Drosophila melanogaster: one gene and its partners. The protein of the gene in region 3 purifies or fractionates together with the protein of the main gene of each other region. This does not show direct contact. Each region holds a gene or a part of one and is shown on either strand. Other genes may lie near its edges.

Region 1 (3,589 bases), on a different chromosome or scaffold from region 3:
CAAAATAAAAGATTGCGTTTGTTTCGAATTTGTTTAACTTTTATTTGCCAAAATGTTTTGTATTTACAAAGAAAAATGTTAGTAAAATTTTCAAAAATACCACATGTTTTGTTAGGCATGAATATGAATTAATAAAATATTATTCAAAATTTCTAAGAATGCTAAAATTAATAGCGGAATTTTGACAAAACGATGGTTAAACTTTTAATAAATTAATATTTATAAATCTTTATGACTTTGTGTCATAAAAATCAAACTAGAATATGTATTAAAATAAATTTAAGATAAATCTAAACAATTGCATTCGTATTTAAAAAAAAAGATGAATGATTTTACTATCTTGTATACTGAAAATATTCTATAAAAAATGCATGACAAAAAGAATTGAAATAGTTTTCGAAATCGTACACCTATGATTTGTGTGCTAATTGACACAAAATGCGTTTTAATATCCAAAAAACTCGTGATCCATTAAGAGCAGTTCAAGAATTGTGACCCAATGGTCAATATAGAGTGAATCCACGAACACTGAGACCATTTGATACCGACTAGCTAGGTTAACAAGGTAGCTGGGCATGGAGCTACATACATAAGTCGGGTTTGGTCTTTGACATTGATACGTTAAATTTCGCGCTAAAACGCATTGTCGTTAACTGGCTTTCGTTATATGTATCTACAATACTAAACGACTACTGAGAAAGTGATGATGCAACTAGTTGTCTGATTTTATGGAGGGGGAAATTCCATTATGCTCGCTCGCTACGTACTATGTACAACTTCTTGGGAAATCGACACAACCGCTTCGATTGCCTTTTTTCCCTTCGCCACATGCAAATTTGGCTGGTGGTCAGTCGCATTTGGTAAATGGCATCGGGAATGGGATATGATCAGCGGATTGAAATATTCTGTGCTGGTCCATTCACGATGTTTTATTTATATATTTATTTTGCGCTATTTGGATATGTAGCTAAGCGGATGTCACGGAATAAAGCAATCTTGTAGCGAAGATATGGGAATACGGACAGCGAACAGTAGCCGCATTGAAGGGCACGCAATATAAGTATACTATCACTTTCACAGAAATCGTTAATTGTAAACATTAGTAATGCGCCGAACCAATAAAAATGTTTTCTTTGTTCGTGCACATACGTATATAGGGATATTATGAGGTGTACATATGTATGTAGCGGTTTGTGTGTATGTGTGTGTGCAATGAAGTCACCTTAGTTAATTCCTTCAGTTAATTAAATTACACGGCTTTATGATTAAGGTGCGCACGAAAATCTTTCTTTCTACTAATCTTAACAATGCAATTTTGATGCTAACACTTTCGAGTGGAGGTATATATATAGGCGAGCATATACCCTCGACAAACAATCCGATTACGGAGCTACAAACCCTCGGTCCCAAAACAGGAGAGAGTGAAAACTAACTGAAATATACAATTAAAACGTAAACACTCCCACTGACAGCTTATCAGACTTAATGGCAAAACAATCGATTGTAGTCGATATGCAGTGATTCCGAATGCAAGTTGGGAACAAGCGAATGGAACAAGAAATTCATTTAATTTTTTAAGTATGCAGTTAATAAATTAAACTAAATATAACTTAATTGTTAGTTAAGTCCCGATAAGCCGTTATAGTTTAAAATTGTATTACTCACATGGTATGCTGTAATTGTTGGTCAATTAAACGTGTGTAGTCAGGTATAATGTGGTGCTGGAATTAATTTAACTACGATTAACAAGGTGCTCATACAAGTTTACTGATTATAATTAATATCATTATCCCCTTAAATTTGTATGCATATCCTACAATGTTCTATTGCATCGTTCCAAAAATGATAGCATGCCCGAATCCCTTATCGATACCCGATACACAGTTTGTTTGTGTCTCCCGGCGTGCCATAACTAACTATCGGGCATTTCTACTTGTCATCATTGAGCTCAGCGGCTTGCATTTCAAAAGTCATGGTAAAGTGTTTATTGCGAATAATGGTGTGCTAACTGCATTTGTTACAAACTCACATCTTTGCTTTCAGTTTCGCAACCAGTACGATAGCGATGTTACTGTGTGGAGTCCGCAGGGACGTCTCCACCAGGTGGAGTACGCAATGGAGGCCGTGAAACTTGGCACCGCAACCGTGGGCCTGAAAAATAAAGATTACGCTGTACTTGTCGCCCTGTGTAAGCCGACATCGGAGCTATCGGATACCCAGCGCAAGATCATCCCAATCGACGATCACCTGGGCATTTCCATTGCTGGCCTCACGGCTGATGCCCGCGTCCTTAGCCGGTACTTGCGCTCCGAGTGCCTGAACTACAAGCACTCGTACGATACAACCTATCCAGTCTCGCGTCTGATCACTAACCTGGGCAACAAGATGCAGACGACCACTCAGCGCTACGATCGCCGTCCGTATGGAGTGGGCCTTTTGGTCGCCGGCTACGATGAGAGGGGTCCGCACATCTATCAGGTCACGCCATCGGCGACCTTTTTCAATTGCAAGGCCAATTCGATCGGATCGCGTTCACAGAGTGCACGCACCTATCTGGAGAAGAATTTGAACAAGTTCTTGGACAGTTCCAAAGATGAAATCATCCGTCACGGAATTCGCGCTATACTCGGTACCCTGCCTACGGATGAGCAAGGCAAAGATGCCGGTCAGTATGTAAGTTCATTGCACATTTCCCGTCGCGAATAGTTAGTAAATTGTGTTTTTCTTGCAGGACATCACTGTGGCCATCGTCGGCAAAGACCAGCCATTCACAATTCTCTCTAATAAAGACAGCGCCAAGCATGTGGCGATTGCCAAAGAGAATGACAATGATACGCCCAGGAACGACGATGACGATGATCGCCCATCCCCCCCAGAGGAACCAGCAGCCGGACCACGCGACCCAGAAGTCCTGGTTGCAACCGAGCAGCGTCCATAGGCATTTATAGGGCTATGAAAGCATCTTAACCATTAAAAATGTAAGATTCAAGGATACAATAAAATTGTTCATGCATTTGCATAGATCCTAAAACGGAACAAACTGAATAAATGAATACAAAAAATCAATGTTATGGGTAAAATTTTTTGATTTTAATTTTAAACCTTCATTTATTATTTATTTATAGTATTTATTAAATATTGGTTTTTCGATATAAGTTTTCCCAACTTATTTGCATTTTTCCGATTTCACAGTTCGGTCACACTGTTGGATTAAAAATATTTATCAATGCCGGTATTGAAACATTTCTACTATAAAAAAATGTTGATTGCTTTTAGTGAATGACAAGTTATCCTCTAAGATGGTTTTTATGCCAAATAAAATGTGCCACTTCAGCGGCAACTTGTATATTTATTTGCTCACACCTAAATTACAATTAATTACATAACGAGAGTGATGGCAAATGGTTGATTTAAATAATAAAATTACATGGTTTTCTCATGAGAAAATAAAATTGTTGGTGCCTTTGCTGAAGCGCACGTAAACAGTATATGTTAGACTTCAGTTTTATTTGTTTAAAAAGTTGCTTCGAAAAGATGTACCATTGTTTACAGGAGGAACCCATGTTTTGGATGATAGATTAAGCAACAG
Region 2 (3,409 bases), on a different chromosome or scaffold from region 3:
TTCCAGGAAGCCTTCAATCGCTTGAAGCTGGACAAAACGGTACCAATCGATCGACTGATCAAGGGTCGCTTCCAGGACAACTTTGAGTTCCTGCAGTGGTTCAAGAAGTTCTTCGACTCGCAGGCTCCGGGCTTGGAGAACATTAAGTCGCTGGCCAATGCGCCGTTGGCAAAGCCCATAAAGCCGCGCCAATTCGCCAAGGAGCGATCACCAGTCAACGCCAATGATGATGCGCTCAAAGAGCTGATTGATGAAATGAAGAACCTAAGCCTGAAGCGGGAGGACATCATGGAGGCCAGCAATCAGATCTACAACAAACTGCGCCTGGTCGAGGATTTGGTCAACGACATGATCAACAACAACCAGCTAGTTGAGTTGTGCAAACGCATTCAAGCGGTGCTCTACAAAACGATAGATGGTGAAATCAACGAGGAACCCGTCGAGGTTAATGAGGATAATGGTGATGAAGGCGCCGAACACGCGGATCCCAATGACGGATTATATTAGAATTCTTTTTATTTGTACTTATTTTGTTTTATACAATCATTTAATTATTTATAAAGAAAGCATTATAAAATCAGCCGTTGGAATCATTGTCTGAGGAGGAGTAATCCCCCACTAAGCTTATGGGTTTTTCGTTCGTGGCTGAAGATGTAGTTTCTTCCAACTTTTTACGCCGTATGCCAAGATCCTGTACTTGGAGCTGGGTATTCAGAACCTTTTGTCGCTTGAGTCCACCAAATGTGGTGACTGTTGCTCCGGGAAGCGCTGGACGCATAAGCAGCTCCAACCGCTGCTCGGATTCCCGTTCCAGAGCTGACTTCGTCTGCAACTTCATCAGGGCTGCCATTTCGCGATCTTGTGTGGTCTCCGGAAGGAGAGCAATGTCCAAGCTGCTCTTGGCCAACAACTGTCGATCCAGCTCCTGCTGACCATTGATCTCTTTCTTCTGCTGGCGAAACTCGGCGCGTAGGCGACTATTGGCCATATAGCTGTCATCCCAGACGCTCATGTTGCGCTCCACTAGTTTCTGGAGCACGGGCCTGGCATCTGCCCCTGCCTTAGCATCCTTGGCTTGATGCTCCAACTTGTACATGGCATCGTCGAAGAGACGCTTTTGTACCTCCTTGGTTTCCGGTACAACTTGTTCGTTCTGCAAGGGATCCCAGCGGTTCTCCTGCCGTCTAGCCCCCGAAAGTATAACATAGTCCAAATTGCCGGGATCCGTCTGGATCTCAAAGTGGTTGTCGCACAAGTGGCACTTCATCCGGAACTTAAAAACCGGCGTAGTGTAGTACATGCCCACCTTGGTCTTCTCCGCATTGTAGCGCACGCCCATGCCGATGTGGTTCTTGCATCCATCACACCAGATATTGTAGGGCATCTCAAAGCGGATGATGATGATTCCCAGGTGAATCTTGCGGGCCCGTTCCCGCAGGGCGTGGGTTCCCTGGAACTTGTTGAGACCGCCCTTCTTCGGATCATAGTCGGGCGGATAGTACTTGTTCTGTCCCTTGCGTTCACCCATTTTTTAAGTGGATAGGATTACTTAAATATTTAAACTAATTACAAGCTCAATCTTTTGCTGTCAAATGTAAATAAACATTTCTGCTTTTTTTAAATCAGCTGTTTCGGGTCGCTGGTGATGACATTATCGGTGGTGCGGAAAACGCTAAAAATAGCCAGAAAATCATATATGAATTAGTCTTGTTATTATTAGTCATATTACAATTAATATGTAATAAATATGACCTACTATATTACCTGTTACTTTAATGCCAACTGTTTATTTCAAATTATTTGACATATAAAATAAATAAGTAATCGATAACATCACCGACGGCGTGACAGCTTTTCCATCTGTCCCATCACCAAAATAATAGTTTCTCGTGGGCATCGTCAAAACTTTGGTTGGATTTTTAACCCTTTTTGCCACGTAAATTGAATTAGAATTAGCGTCCGATCCAGGCAAAATGATAATCTACACGAATGATGGCAACCCGCTGGGACTGCAGCTGCTAATGCTCGCCAAATTTGCCAAGCAGCCGGTGCAGGTGCAGTTGGTTAACCTAAATGGTGAGTTCTGCCACGGATTCCCTTCGAATTCTGGGGAATGCTCTGAAAATGACTCATTTCTGATGCAATAACTATTGTTAATTGCAGACGCTAAGTACAAGGACTTGCTGGTGCTGCCCACTTTGGAGCTGGACAACGGATTGCGTTTGTTCTCGCCGGCGGCCATTGCCAAGTACCTTTTCGTGGGCAAGGGGCAGCAGCGCGATGAGGTATGGGTTCCGAAAATTACTTATTGGCCCATTGACCCCTGAAGGTTAAACTAATTCCCGTATGTGCTCTCTCCCTAGTGGCTGGAATGGTCTGCCACGTTGCTGGCCCCGGCTTTGGCCCACCACATGGCTGTGGGCCACAAGGCAGATGCAAACGCGCTGCCCGTGCTGAATGCTCTGGTCAAGAAGCTGGATGACAAACTGAAAGCTACCCCCTACCTGGCTGGCGACAAACCCAGTGCCGCCGACATCGCCATTTGGTCGCTCCTTGCTCCCGATGGCACTCTCAAGGGAGCACAGAACGTGGACAACTTGAGGGATTGGTATGGCAGGGTGAAAGCGCTTCCCGAAGTTCAGGAAGTTCTTGCCGAACAGCCACTAAAGGATCTAAGCTTTAATGCTCTGCAGCAGTCAAATCGCTATGGAGGTTTGCATCATGTACCATTAAAACGTCTCAGCCTGGCGGATGCAAGCAAACTTCTTGTGGATACCACGCCAACGGTGGCGGATACTGTTACGAATGAGGAAATAAGCGCGGCGAAGGCTGCCTTTACCTACACAGCTCCAAAGGAAATCAAGGAGGAGCGAACTGTTCTTCCCAAGCCCGGTGAGCGTAACGTGCTCATCACCTCGGCGCTTCCCTATGTCAACAATGTGCCACATTTGGGCAACATCATTGGTTGTGTTCTCTCTGCGGATATCTATGCTCGTTACTCGCGTTCTGCTGGCTACAACACACTCTTGATTTGCGGCACGGATGAGTACGGTACGGCCACCGAGAACAAGGCACTGGCAGAGAACCTTACTCCCCGTGAGATCTGCGACAAGTACTTCGAACTGCACAACGCCATTTACCGCTGGTTCGGCATTGGCTTTGATTACTTTGGACGCACCACAACCCAAGAGCAAACAGAGTAAGTTTTGGCTGCTTAAGCAATGATATCCTTATCAAAAAACGCTTGTTTTTTACAGCATTGTCCAGGAGGCATTTAAGGATGTCCTCAAAGCTGGCTATATCATCACAGAGAGCGTGGAGCAGTTGCTTTGCCAAAAGTGTGATCGTTTTCTGGCTGATCGGTGGGTATTTCTGGTACACTATTTCAAGCTCCAACTTACCCATTATT
Region 3 (8,014 bases):
CTATTTTGAGATACTTTTTATACACCCCATTTATGTTTTAGGCATAATTTGACATGAACACTTCGCCCCTGAAATTATGCAACATTTTTACAGCCTTCAAAAACATGAAAAGCCTAAAAGTGTTTTAAAAATCCAAGACTCTAGTAGCTGCATAAAATAAATAACCCATCAAATCATAATTCTCCAATGAAGAGGTATTACTTAGTCGGATACACGAAAACCACCTGCCAGTTAAAGAATAAAATGCTTAAATCAGGTGCCACAGTTCGATATGTTTGTGCTGTTTATTTCGACAGATCTACGTGCCTTCGAGCGTGTATATGATAGATATATAAATATATATGTATATATATATATAGTTGGTATTGGTATAATTGTTTACAAAAAAAAGACGCCTAGCAAAACAAAAGTCCATATAAAAGGACGATACACGTATATAATACACTAAAACAGTTAACATCCTTTCGATTTTCCATTCCGATTTGGTAGCACTAGTTTCGTTCGTTTCGTTTTTTTTTTTTCTTTTTGGAAGCCACATTCTTGTCCTGCATCCGGAAAACTTCGAGCCCAAATACATATGTAGGATATATGTGTATATATCGGAATTATCACAAATGCTTATGATCTAGCTAAAATAGCGTATAGTTAGGCTTGCTTCAAGCGCGCTGGGATCGTGAGTTGCGTGTGGGTGGTGTCTTCGACCAGCTTTGCTCCTCGGCGCTGGCGAAGATCAGGTAGATGAAGTTACCGGCTATATTCAAGCCCGCCGCCAGCCAGAAGACCAGATGCCACTGTGTCAGAGTCTCGCGATGATTGATGATTAGACCGATGACATACGGAGCCAGGAAGCCACAGATATTTGCCGCCGAATTGGTGATGCCATACATGGTGCCTGCATATCGTGGACTGAGCGCTATGTGATTCATCTGGTTGCCAGCATAGACGGCGCCGCCGAAAGAGCCCACGCCGGCCAACATAAAGGTGACCCACACCCAATCGCAGCCCACATAGATGATGCCAATCAGGCCCAGTGATGGCACCACGGAGGCCACCGTGTTCCACAACTTATACGAGTTCAGCAGCGATATGTAGCGTCTGGCTAGCATCCAATCCGCCAGGGCGGAGCAGGCAATGCCCACGAACCAGGAGGTTAGATACGGCACCGCATTGAGCAGAGCATTCGACTGGATGTCAAAGTGTAGGATGTTGCTCATGTAGGTGGGCAGCTCGGTTAGCTGCGTGTAGAAGGCCCATCCCTGGCCGCATTGCGTCAACAAGATGGCCCACAGAGGTACGGATGTGAGCAGCGATGACCAGGGTATCGGTTCCTCCGGCGGCGCCCGCAGACTCACTTCATCCTGTCCCTCCTCTTCCTCGGCCTCCGCTAGATCCTGATTTATTAGCCTCTGAACCTGTAGACTCCTTTCGATATACTCTCGCTCCGATTCTGAGATCCTGGGATGATCGCTAGGCTTGTCGTACACCAAATACATCCATGCGATGAACCACAGAATGCCCAACAGTCCGAAGATGTAGAAAGCCGACGGCCAGCCACCCAGGAAGTCCAGCGAGCACAGCCATCCGGCCAGCGGCATGGAAATGACTGTTCCGATATTGGAGCCCGCATAGACGATTGCGGCGAACTTGTTCCTCTCCAGCGGCGGTATCCAGTGGGCAAGCATGGCGTGCATAGCTGGATAGGTGACGCCCTCGCCCATTCCCTCCAGGATGCGGACCAGGACCAACAGCGGCAGATCCCAGTGGGCAGCCAATGGAGTTATAAGCGTAAAGACCGCCGTGATCAACACTCCATAGCCGTAGATCTTCTTCCCACCATACAGCTCGGCCATCCGTCCGCCGGGCACTTGGGTTAGCACATAGCCATAGAAGAAACTGCCGAGCACCAATCCCTGCGTGGCCTCGTCCCACACAAACTCGCCCTCCTTCTGCGGATTGGGATCGCTACCATTGTGATGTGGTGCCGGTAGTGGACACGTGTCCGTATCAATCACCGATGAGTTGCTGTGCGGAATTGCCGTTTGGTTCACCATGGCCACAATGGCCACCGACAGATTGACCCGCATCGCGTAGACCACGGCGAATCCCAGGAAGCCCATGAATCCGAAAATGTGACGCGTCTTTGGGCCACAGCCATGGTTTTCTGCAGGGTGGAGAGAGGAGAGAGTGGATGGTTAGTAAGCTATGGTTTAGGAGGCGTAATAACGATATCAGTTCCGGTTTTACTTAAAAGTTCTCGCCGTTCTCGATAAGGCCCAATGTTACACTGAAAATCCCTAAATACCATTCAATGTGTTATCATTGCATAGTTTAAATTGCCTCAATTTCTTCACTTTTTTATTCCTTTAGAAATGTTTACATGAGATGCCATTGCCAGTGAATTTAATTTCTTTTCAGATACTTGTTCATAGGAATCGCTCAAGTATAAAATCTAAAATAAAAATATTACGATCTGATACCATCGAAAAAGTTATCGGCCCTCCGTTCCATTTGAAATGCAGATTTGTACTGTTCTATAAAGTTCAGAAAAACTTCGCTTCATATCAGTAAATGTAAACAAGTCGTAATTTCGGCCCTTGGCGAATAAATTATACATAGGCATAGGCTGTTAACTGGATAACTGGATAGTATTACGTGAAAATTAAAATTTATGCGTAATTATTAGGTTATTTTATATTATATGTATGTTATGTTATATGTATAAAAACATTTTAATTATTTTTATTAGTTATTGAAATCTATAAGCCATATAATATCTTACTTTAAGATTAAATGAGAATTATTATAAATTGAAAGATACAATTTTAGAGTGTCTTGGATATACGTAAAATGAAATTTGTTTACAACAAAAAGTATCTTTGCGTTGAGTACTGTTTTTTTTTACACAGATATTCCGAGAGTTTATGTTTAATAAAAGTACTGACCCAGGACATATGTATGTACAATACATAAATGCAAATCAATATGAAGCAGAAATAGCACTAAAGATTTAAATAAATAAAGGTATCTTGAGCTTGTAATACGCATATCTACGTTGCTCCACCTACATATGCTATAGCTAGGTAAATATCTTTCCCCATCTGTGTATCTTGTAGCTACTCACCCTCCGCAGCGCCGCTGGAGCGGATTAGCGGTCGTTCGCCGGAGCAAAACGCCTCCCGTTCGTCGTCCGCTTCGTCGTCGGAGCGCTCCGCCGAGGCGGATGAATTGGAGGAGGTGGATGGATCGTAGTAACAGGAGGCGTCCCGCGACTCGTCCGTCCATTTGTGCGGTGGCATCGTGGCGCTCTATTTGGTTTCGTGGATTCCGATTGGAGATGTTGGTGCTTGGCGGTCTGTGCTTTTCGAGCGTCTTTTGAGCGTTTGGAACTGCAACTGCCAACGCATTTTCTCTGCCGGAGCGGCAGCTGTAGTGTAGTTATTGTATTTGTATCGCCAGCGGTGGCGGAAGCGGTTTGCTTGTCCACCAAAATCAAGAGCCGTGTGAGCGGGAGCGGGAACGGGAGCGGCAACGCGAGCGGACACCTCACCACGCCAGCGGGAACCAGCGCAGACTGACGGACTGGCAAATGGCAACGGGCAACGGACAGCGCAACAACAAACCTAAGCAAAAGGCAGCGCCAGCAAACGTAGCTTCTAACCACAAGAGGGGTAACAGTGGCGTAGTTGTGGGGTGGCGAGCCAAAATCACAGAGGGGATTCCTCGAGTGAGAAGAGTAAATACTTTCTGGCGATAGAATGATGGCGTAGTTCTTTGGGAATTTCAGTCATTGTTTAGTTGCCCCTTTTGCTGCGCCACTGCGTTTGGAGTCACCACAGCTCGCTCCCTCTCTAATGGCTGGCTCTGTGGCGTTCTCGCTCTCTCCCGTGTGAAAGTGGAGCATGAATGGTGCGGCGCTACGTCACAGAAGGGGATGCAAGAACGAAAGAGAGTGGGTGAGAGAGAGAGCATTAGAGAGGGCCAAAGAGAAAGGGGGTGATGTGCGAGAAGAGAAGAGAGTGCAGTGTGAATTGTATTGTTGTGAACTAACTTAAGTATACTATCTTTGTTTAGTTACAGTTAGTTTACACACACACACAAACTATAAACGGCGATATGGTATATTTGCCAGCACTGAAAAATTACTATTTGTAAGAAAATAAAAACAATAAAACAAAACTAATTTCCAGATAGTCGAAATCAAAAAGGGAATTTGTACTAAAATCTTGAGAATAAAAACAACGAGGAGAGAAAGGCAAAGTATACTTTAGTTGCCAACACAAATACACGCACACTCAAACAACTCAGGCTAACACAATAGCTACGTTTAAGTAGCCAAGCTCTTTTAATGTATGTAAGTCAATTCAAGCAGGCTCTAGTTAGAGAACAAAAGAAATGAGCAAAAACCTAAATTCCACACATAGTATGTACATTTCTACATCTGGAAATTTTTCCATATTTGTTGTCCGTTTACAATGAAATAGATAAGATAAAGGGTTAAGTTGATCGATCGCTGCGTAGCTCGCACAAAACAAAATGTTCTTTTAAAAATTTTCATTGAAATCATTACCAGTTTATCAGTTAAATGGTTCATTTACTTCATAGTATGTTAAGTTTACTAAAATGAGCGCTATTATTTTGGCCCCAAGTGTATGAGTGTGCCCTTCAACTGCTTCCATTTAAACTGCTTTGCAGGATTTCTATTTCTGGAGCAGCACTTGCGCATGTCCTGAAAAAATGCCTGTTGCATGCAGAGATTCGTGGACCTACCCCAAATTCCCACAGATGCATAAAAGTTGGCTGATGATTTTTCAGTGGACAATTATTGACAGAGTATCAAAAAAACAATTCAGACTCAAGGACCTTTTCGCAATACAATTGGAATATTATGATGGTTGCAAAATCAGATAATTTCTAAGTTAAGCCACATTAAATGCTAGTTGTTTGACATAACTCCTAATTTAGTTCGATATAATTCCAATTGAACTGTCGAAAAGGATGCCCCAAGCTACATGTAAAATGCTTAGAGAGGTATTTTAAAGTATGGCTTAAAAAGCACCTGGATGTAATTCCTTCCGGATGTGATTCGTCGCCGTCGAAGTCCAGAACTGTCACTCTTCAGTTGCCGAAGATGGTGCCCACGGGAAAGACGACGATCCTCCGTTTGCCGCTCACCACCAGCGATTCATAGTGATAGTTCTTGGCCAGCAGAACATCGTTGCGGTCGGCAGCAAAGGATTCCCAGATGGGATCCAAGTCCGGATTGAAGCAATTAATGGCCACAATATCGCTCGGTAGTCGTGGTATCAGTTCGTAGGCGCAGCCCAGCTTCTCATTCCACAGACTAACTTGGCCGTAAGGTAGGGGATCCCTTTTGGCCAACTGGCCGGCCTCCTTGGCTGTGCGGAATGTGTGCACCGTCACCACTCCCGTCGCTCCATTGCCCAGATAGCTGTGCACGCAGTCGTACACCAAGACGGGTGATTCCCCAGCCTTAAGGCTTTCGCCTTGTACTGTCTTGGCCTTCAGCTCTTCGATCTTGGCCAGCGTGCTGGTGTAGCTCGGATGCTTGGACACCTCCTGCGACAACGGACGCAAATCCTGCGCCACTAGGCCCACAAACTGATCGGCAATGCTCTCCTGGAGTAGCAACGTGGCCACCGATCCCTCGGCAAAGGGATTCTGCAGGGACTGGAGCAACTGGTGGCGCGCTGAGTGCAGATCACCGTCCTCGAAGACGACCATCAGCTGGGGGGAGCGCCACTGGGGTGCACTGGGAATCAGCGCCAACTGCAAGTAGATACATTTTTGAATTTAACATATGTATGTAGGTGCTCCGATAATCTCACTGAGACACAATCCGTGTGCCAAGGAGATCAAGGTTATGTCCGATATTGTCTGACTGACCTTCGTTTCCTGCGCCGTCGGCTGCAGCTGGTTGACCATGTAGCTGGTGATCCTGGACGGCTGGGACTGGGTGAAGTTGCTGGCCATGCTCTGCGAATTGAAAACTTGAATTCAATGGAATCGCCCGATCAGCTGCGTTATCAGCGGCTCACGCAAACATACACACACGCACATAAACAGACACACACGCACACACACATTCACATGCAGAGAAGGAAGATCGCTGATAAACTAAAATACCAGTTATTGGTATTATTCAGTATTTAACACGGCCTGTCGCATTTTATAGCTACGGTCACACCGAAATAATAACTGGCATGTATAAGCGGAACAGCGACCGGTCACATTGGCCCACACATCACAATTTTAATTTAAATTGCAATTGGTCGTGTTGCTGCGCTGACGCCTTCCAGCGTATAAAAGAAAATAACACTTTTGCCCCCGGCTAGCTAATAGTTGTTGACATCACTCGTTATTCGCCGTTCATTGTTGACGCCCCCGTGCAAAGGCAGCAACAACAACAGCGATTGCCAAATATTGCAGCAGCAACAACAAGAACATTTGGAGAACGAAAGAAGACCAACAAGTGCGCGCACACACACACACACGCACAGACGCACACAGATACACTCATACAGTGAAGCTATTGCGCTTTTAGCACCAATTGAAAGTGAATTGCAAGTGAAAATAGACGCAAAGTGGAACGATTTCAGCAAATTGTTGCACACGAAAATAACAAAACAGCTGTGCGACTCATTTTTTTTTGTGTTTTATTGTTGTTGTTGTCTGCGCCGCGTGTGGCAGCAGCAGGAGTGGGAGTGAGAGAGCGGTAGCCGCTGCAATAACTGCATTTGAGTGCGAGCGAGAAGGAGCAGGAGAGCGACATCATCATGACCGACCTCAACGAGCTGATGGGATCCCCTTTTGTGCGTGTGAAGGTAAGCAAGCAGTGCATGCGATGCGGGAGACGAGATGCCGCTATTGCACTGCACTGGCCAGCAAGCAGTGCACTGCACTCACCCCCCTCATCTTATCCAACAAACAATTGCAGCCATAAAAATAGCAATGGGCGACTAGGAAAACTCATAACTCATGACAAAAAAAAAAAAACAAAGAAACAGATAAAAATTCTGAATAAATGAAAAAGTCTCATTTAAATTAGGGGAAAGAATAAACAGGGTAAATAGATAACATATGGTACAGCTGCGGTCAAAATATTAACAGCAGGGCGGTTCAACTGGCTGGGTGGCACACATAAACAGAAGAAACAGATAAAGAATTTTACGGAAGCGGTCAAAAAATTAAACTGGGCGTATGAAACATACGTGTTTGTTTTTTAAGGAATAAAAGCCATGAAAAGTAGATAAAAACTTTTTTTGGAAATTTACTTACATGTGTTTGGATGCTTATTTTGCATTCAAAGTGGATATAGCTACATATACATACATATATCGGCAAATATAAATTACTTGTTGTAGAACGAAAATAAGTAAATTAATGCCATCGTTATATGTATAAGTAAAAAATACACATAAATGACATTGTATGTACAGCTGGACTAATGCAACTTGTGTGGGCGAAATAAAACTGCTTGAGCGAAATTTACAGCTTACGGGAAAACCTTATAAACTAATTACATCGTTTCACTAAAAACATTTTCCAATTGTGCAGTTTTCTGTCCAAGAATAAATATTGTTATTTCTATCATAATACAATCCGTTTTTTTTACCATAACATTATAAATAATGGTCCAAATATAAAATGAGATGCCTCGTTGTGTTCGTTATTAAATACCAAATCGAACTGTATTCAAAAATTTCCTTAATTCTTCGATGAAAATGATAGGGAACGTTAGCCTTGGTAATTTGCTGCTCAAAACAGTTATTTTTTCATCTATATAACAATTTTTAGCGTATTTATGACAAAAATTCCATTTGTAAATATTACGTTTTTGGCAAAAGCTGTTTTTCCGAATTTATGTGATCAAAAAATCCGTTTTTTTGCCACAACTTTCAAATTAATTGCCTGAATATGAAATGTCATACCTCAATGAGCTCGTAATTAAATTTCCAATTAAACTGTGTCCAAATATAAGAATTCTATTTTTTCG
Region 4 (3,533 bases), on a different chromosome or scaffold from region 3:
GGCCACCAGCAGGACAAGTGGAAGCGGCAGGTGCGCGAGCAGAGACGCCACATCTACGACAGGCATACCATGCTAAACTAACAAGGGGTTCGGTTTGCAGCTGGCGGAGATTAGGAGGCGCATGGGCGACTTAAGACACGTATTCCAAGCAGTTATCCTTTGCGAAATTCCCCTTTGGATCAAATTGATTATCTGTATATTTAGCCAGATTTTATGTTAATTAAAATAAACCAAAATATGTTTGTCAGGAGTGTTTGCATATTAATTAATAAGTTGAATGCCGGGAGGAATAACCAACAAATCCACTAAAATAAAACTTTTAATGATAATTGATGGTTATAATTTGGGAAAATAAGGAACGTAAGACCGTAATGGTGAGTCCAAGTTAGATTTGGAAACTCCCTTGGGCTTCTTAGTTTGACGCCTACTTTTTGATTCCATCAGTAGAGATTAACGAAAGAATAACTCGAAGATAGTTTCTATCACACAATAACCATAACTTTAAACGTATTATTTTCAGCCACATTTATTTTTAATAAATCATGTAACCACATATCCTTAGACAAGTGTTTTTTTTTAATGCAAAACCGCCGAGCTAGACCTAAACTAAGTTCATTCAGAATCGGAGGCTCTAGTATCCCTTTATGGTTTCGGCGAATGTCCAGTTTTCGTTAACTTGGAAGGGCCCCTCCACGCCGCATCCGTTGACGCTGCACACGCCCACAGTGTATTGGGAAATATTACGAGTATCGCGGTAGTAAAGCACCTCCATGCATGTGCGGATCTAGAATATAAGAAAATGGTAGGGTAGTTAAATAATGAAGAGTCCCCCCATCAGAGTTCGAAATTCCTTACCAGTTCGGAAGCTTCTACGGCGGTAAAGTCCCTGTCCTTGGGCTTCTTCTCACGGACCAGCGGAACGGCCAAATGGCGGGCAAAACCAGTGGCCACCACGTAGTCCTCGTAGGATCGTCCACGGAGATCCACGTTGGCCAGGTACGGAGTCCCCTCGTTGTCCACGCCGCCGACAACCACGTCAATGTAGAGGGGGTTCATCCGCGAACGACGGTTGTAGAGCACACGGGTCATCCAACTGGCCAAGGACTTGGGCTTCATCTCGATGTTGTCGTCGCAGCACTGGTCCTCGATCATCTTCTGGTCGATGTTGCGCTTGATGGACTGGATGTCAGCGAAGTCGCCGCTCCCGCCGAGCAGGATGTTCTTGTTGACCTTAAAGACGCGCTCAATGTTTTGGTAGCGGGCCATGGATCCGTAAGACACCAGGGTGTCGGCGGCCAGCATCACTCCTGAATCATAGCGAATGCCAAGCACGGAAGTGCCCGTGGTGCTGGAAGCACTGCGGAATAGTAAAAGGAGTGTAAACAAGTGGTACATCTGCATATAAACATATCCGCAGTTCCTACGTGCTGTGCTTGGTTCCATAGGGTCCCATTGTGGTCAGCTCCCGCGGTAGCTGCTGGACCGGCGTCTGTCCGCCCGTGAAGTTGTAGAACTCGCCGGGAGCGGGTCCGTTCTGCCACATGGGCTGCGCTAGGCTGTTGTAGTTGTTCAACATGCTAATTTATTCGGAGACTGGAATAACGCGAGACTTTGAAATGTTTGTCGCTGCCGGAGAATGACGGGCACAAATAAAATCAAGAGTCAGCGCAGTGTGAACAGACTTTAGGCGGGCGGCAATACCAGTATCGGCAACCGGTAGCTAAAAATACCAGACATACCAAAGATGAATCCACTATTAGCTTGGTCACACCGTTTTACATGTGTTAAATTAAATTAATTTGAAGTTTAATTGTGAACTTTTTAACATTTTATTAGATGTTGATGTTAAAAGTAATGTAAAACAGTTAACACCACGCTGCCTATACTGAATTTGTTTTTTTACTTTTGTCTTTATAATCCTCGTTGATAATACAAATCAAGGAGAAGAAAGATAAGAAATTAAAGAACTTTTCACTCAATTAGGATTAAGACTCATGTATACCCGTTGCTTCTACGGTATTTACTACTCCTTGAAACTAAATATATGTTTAGTTAATATATAATGACCATTTGCTTTACTTCATTTTAAGCCGTTCAATGGTCATTAAAGTATAAGAATCGAGAGCAATAAATGTAAATGACGTTTGGAAATTATCCTGGTCAATCTACAAATCCAATATCTCCCTTCTCTCCCTTCGAACACGATTCTCCATAGCTTTTTAAGCGGAATAAGGTTCTTTTGCTAAAACTTCTGCTTTTATTCATATTGGTGGGAAAAACGCACATGTTCCGGATTGTTGTTTTTGGGAACCCAACGAAGTTTTTTATCATAACATTTGATCATATAAATTAATAATAAAGAATTATAAATTTGAAGACATATAAATACATTTTTATTGCCAGTATACCAGTACACAATTTGTAAATATATAGGTATGTGCATAATGCTTCCGAGGGGAATGTTTAGGTTGCTGCCGCATCTTTCAGATGCCATAATACAGTCGATAATATCAGTTGCTTTATTGAGCTATGCTAAAAACAATGACGGGGAGACCCGCTCTTTAACACGATACATATACGAATAAGGATACCCTACGCAAAACTAAGAGCTACATGTCACGGCCAACGATTGATGCTAATTCTATGGGGTTAAAGCTTCTAGTCCTTGCAGCAGCAGTAAACATTGTCGCTAGAGCTAGCTGGGGTTGTGGGCGTGGTGCCGCCCTTGAGGGGCTTGCTGTAGGAATGGGGACCCCGCATGAAGACCTCGATGAGCTGACAATGCGATCTGCCAGATACGGAACGGTTAATAAGCGATTTATTGAAGTTAAAGGTACAACCAACTCACCGCATGGTTATGTCCAGGTCGGTCACCACCTCTCCATCACAGTTCCAGCTGGAAAACTCCGTCGAGGAGGAGTGGGCGGTCATTTCTTCAGGCGGTGTAATCGGCTGACAAGACCCTGCCAAGCTGTAGTCCTCCTCGCTGGCAGAAAAAGTTCTGAACCGGAATTCCCTTGTGCGATATACCTCTACAAAAGGCAAATTGCGCTGCAATGGGAAAATGTTTTTAAATATTTATTGTTTTCTACAAAATTTAATTGTATCCTTTTATTTTTCATTTATATTTTTACAGTAAAAGATACCATCGCATTCACTAGATAAAACATTATATTGTTGAAACTGGTCAAGTATATACTTTATATGGATGCCACCAGAGCGGCTAGTAGATCTTCGTAAAATAACCTTTCTGTCACAGATTTCCCTCGCTTCAATCCGAGCTAGATGGGGTTCGGTTTTGGGTTTTTGGCTTTTAGGATAGAAAGCACTAAGCTCAGCTTGTAGGCTTAGGGGATTTGGCAATTAAAGATGCAGTTAAAATGTTATGGAAATGTTATTTCAAAGGAAATGGACGCCTCTTATAGGAAAGGTGTTCTTTTGGATGTGAAAGTTGAATAGTTGTAATAGTTAGTACTCACAATATCACCACTTCTGCCCGCCGTGTTGAGCAGAAAACGCACGTTGTTGAGCAG

Evidence for each region.
Region 1: the proteins of CG15717 (region 3) and Prosalpha6 purify together in Drosophila melanogaster (affinity purification with mass spectrometry, with the first as the bait; one large-scale study listed by BioGRID). This does not show direct contact.
Region 2: the proteins of CG15717 (region 3) and CG15084 purify together in Drosophila melanogaster (affinity purification with mass spectrometry, with the first as the bait; one large-scale study listed by BioGRID). This does not show direct contact.
Region 4: the proteins of CG15717 (region 3) and Prosbeta7 purify together in Drosophila melanogaster (affinity purification with mass spectrometry, with the first as the bait; one large-scale study listed by BioGRID). This does not show direct contact.

Annotation. Positions count from the first base shown.
Region 1 is NT_033779.5:10,219,471-10,223,059, forward strand, and holds Prosalpha6 (proteasome alpha6 subunit), read left to right. Parts: upstream 1-1,880; 5' UTR 1,881-1,972; coding exon 1,973-1,975; intron 1,976-2,043; coding exon 2,044-2,673; intron 2,674-2,731; coding exon 2,732-2,938; 3' UTR 2,939-3,076; downstream 3,077-3,589. UniProt on the Drosophila melanogaster protein: The proteasome is a multicatalytic proteinase complex which is characterized by its ability to cleave peptides with Arg, Phe, Tyr, Leu, and Glu adjacent to the leaving group at neutral or slightly basic pH.
Region 2 is NT_033778.4:18,849,055-18,852,463, reverse strand, and holds CG15084 (uncharacterized protein), read right to left. Parts: upstream 1,621-3,409; 5' UTR 1,529-1,620; coding exon 578-1,528; 3' UTR 508-577; downstream 1-507. Other genes in the region: CG18190 (uncharacterized protein), read left to right, coding at 1-507; MetRS (Methionyl-tRNA synthetase), read left to right, coding at 1,974-2,076, 2,164-2,285, 2,364-3,199, 3,258-3,362.
Region 3 is NC_004354.4:13,127,079-13,135,092, reverse strand, and holds CG15717 (uncharacterized protein), read right to left. Parts: upstream 6,076-8,014; 5' UTR 5,992-6,075; coding exon 5,905-5,991; intron 5,788-5,904; coding exon 5,116-5,787; 3' UTR 5,057-5,115; exon of another isoform or gene 4,803-5,056; intron 4,101-4,802; exon of another isoform or gene 3,915-4,100; 3' UTR 3,297-3,914; coding exon of another isoform or gene 3,122-3,296; intron 2,162-3,121; coding exon of another isoform or gene 657-2,161; 3' UTR 528-656; downstream 1-527. Other genes in the region: MFS10 (major facilitator superfamily transporter 10), read right to left, coding at 657-2,161, 3,122-3,296; CG32638 (uncharacterized protein), read left to right, coding at 6,795-6,842.
Region 4 is NT_033777.3:5,356,500-5,360,032, forward strand, and holds Prosbeta7 (proteasome beta7 subunit), read right to left. Parts: upstream 1,866-3,533; 5' UTR 1,577-1,865; coding exon 1,425-1,576; intron 1,358-1,424; coding exon 856-1,357; intron 785-855; coding exon 632-784; 3' UTR 513-631; downstream 1-512. Other genes in the region: CG1161 (uncharacterized protein), read left to right, coding at 1-81; Cerk (ceramide kinase), read right to left, coding at 2,659-2,788, 2,849-3,051, 3,480-3,533. UniProt on the Drosophila melanogaster protein: Non-catalytic component of the proteasome, a multicatalytic proteinase complex which is characterized by its ability to cleave peptides with Arg, Phe, Tyr, Leu, and Glu adjacent to the leaving group at neutral or slightly basic pH.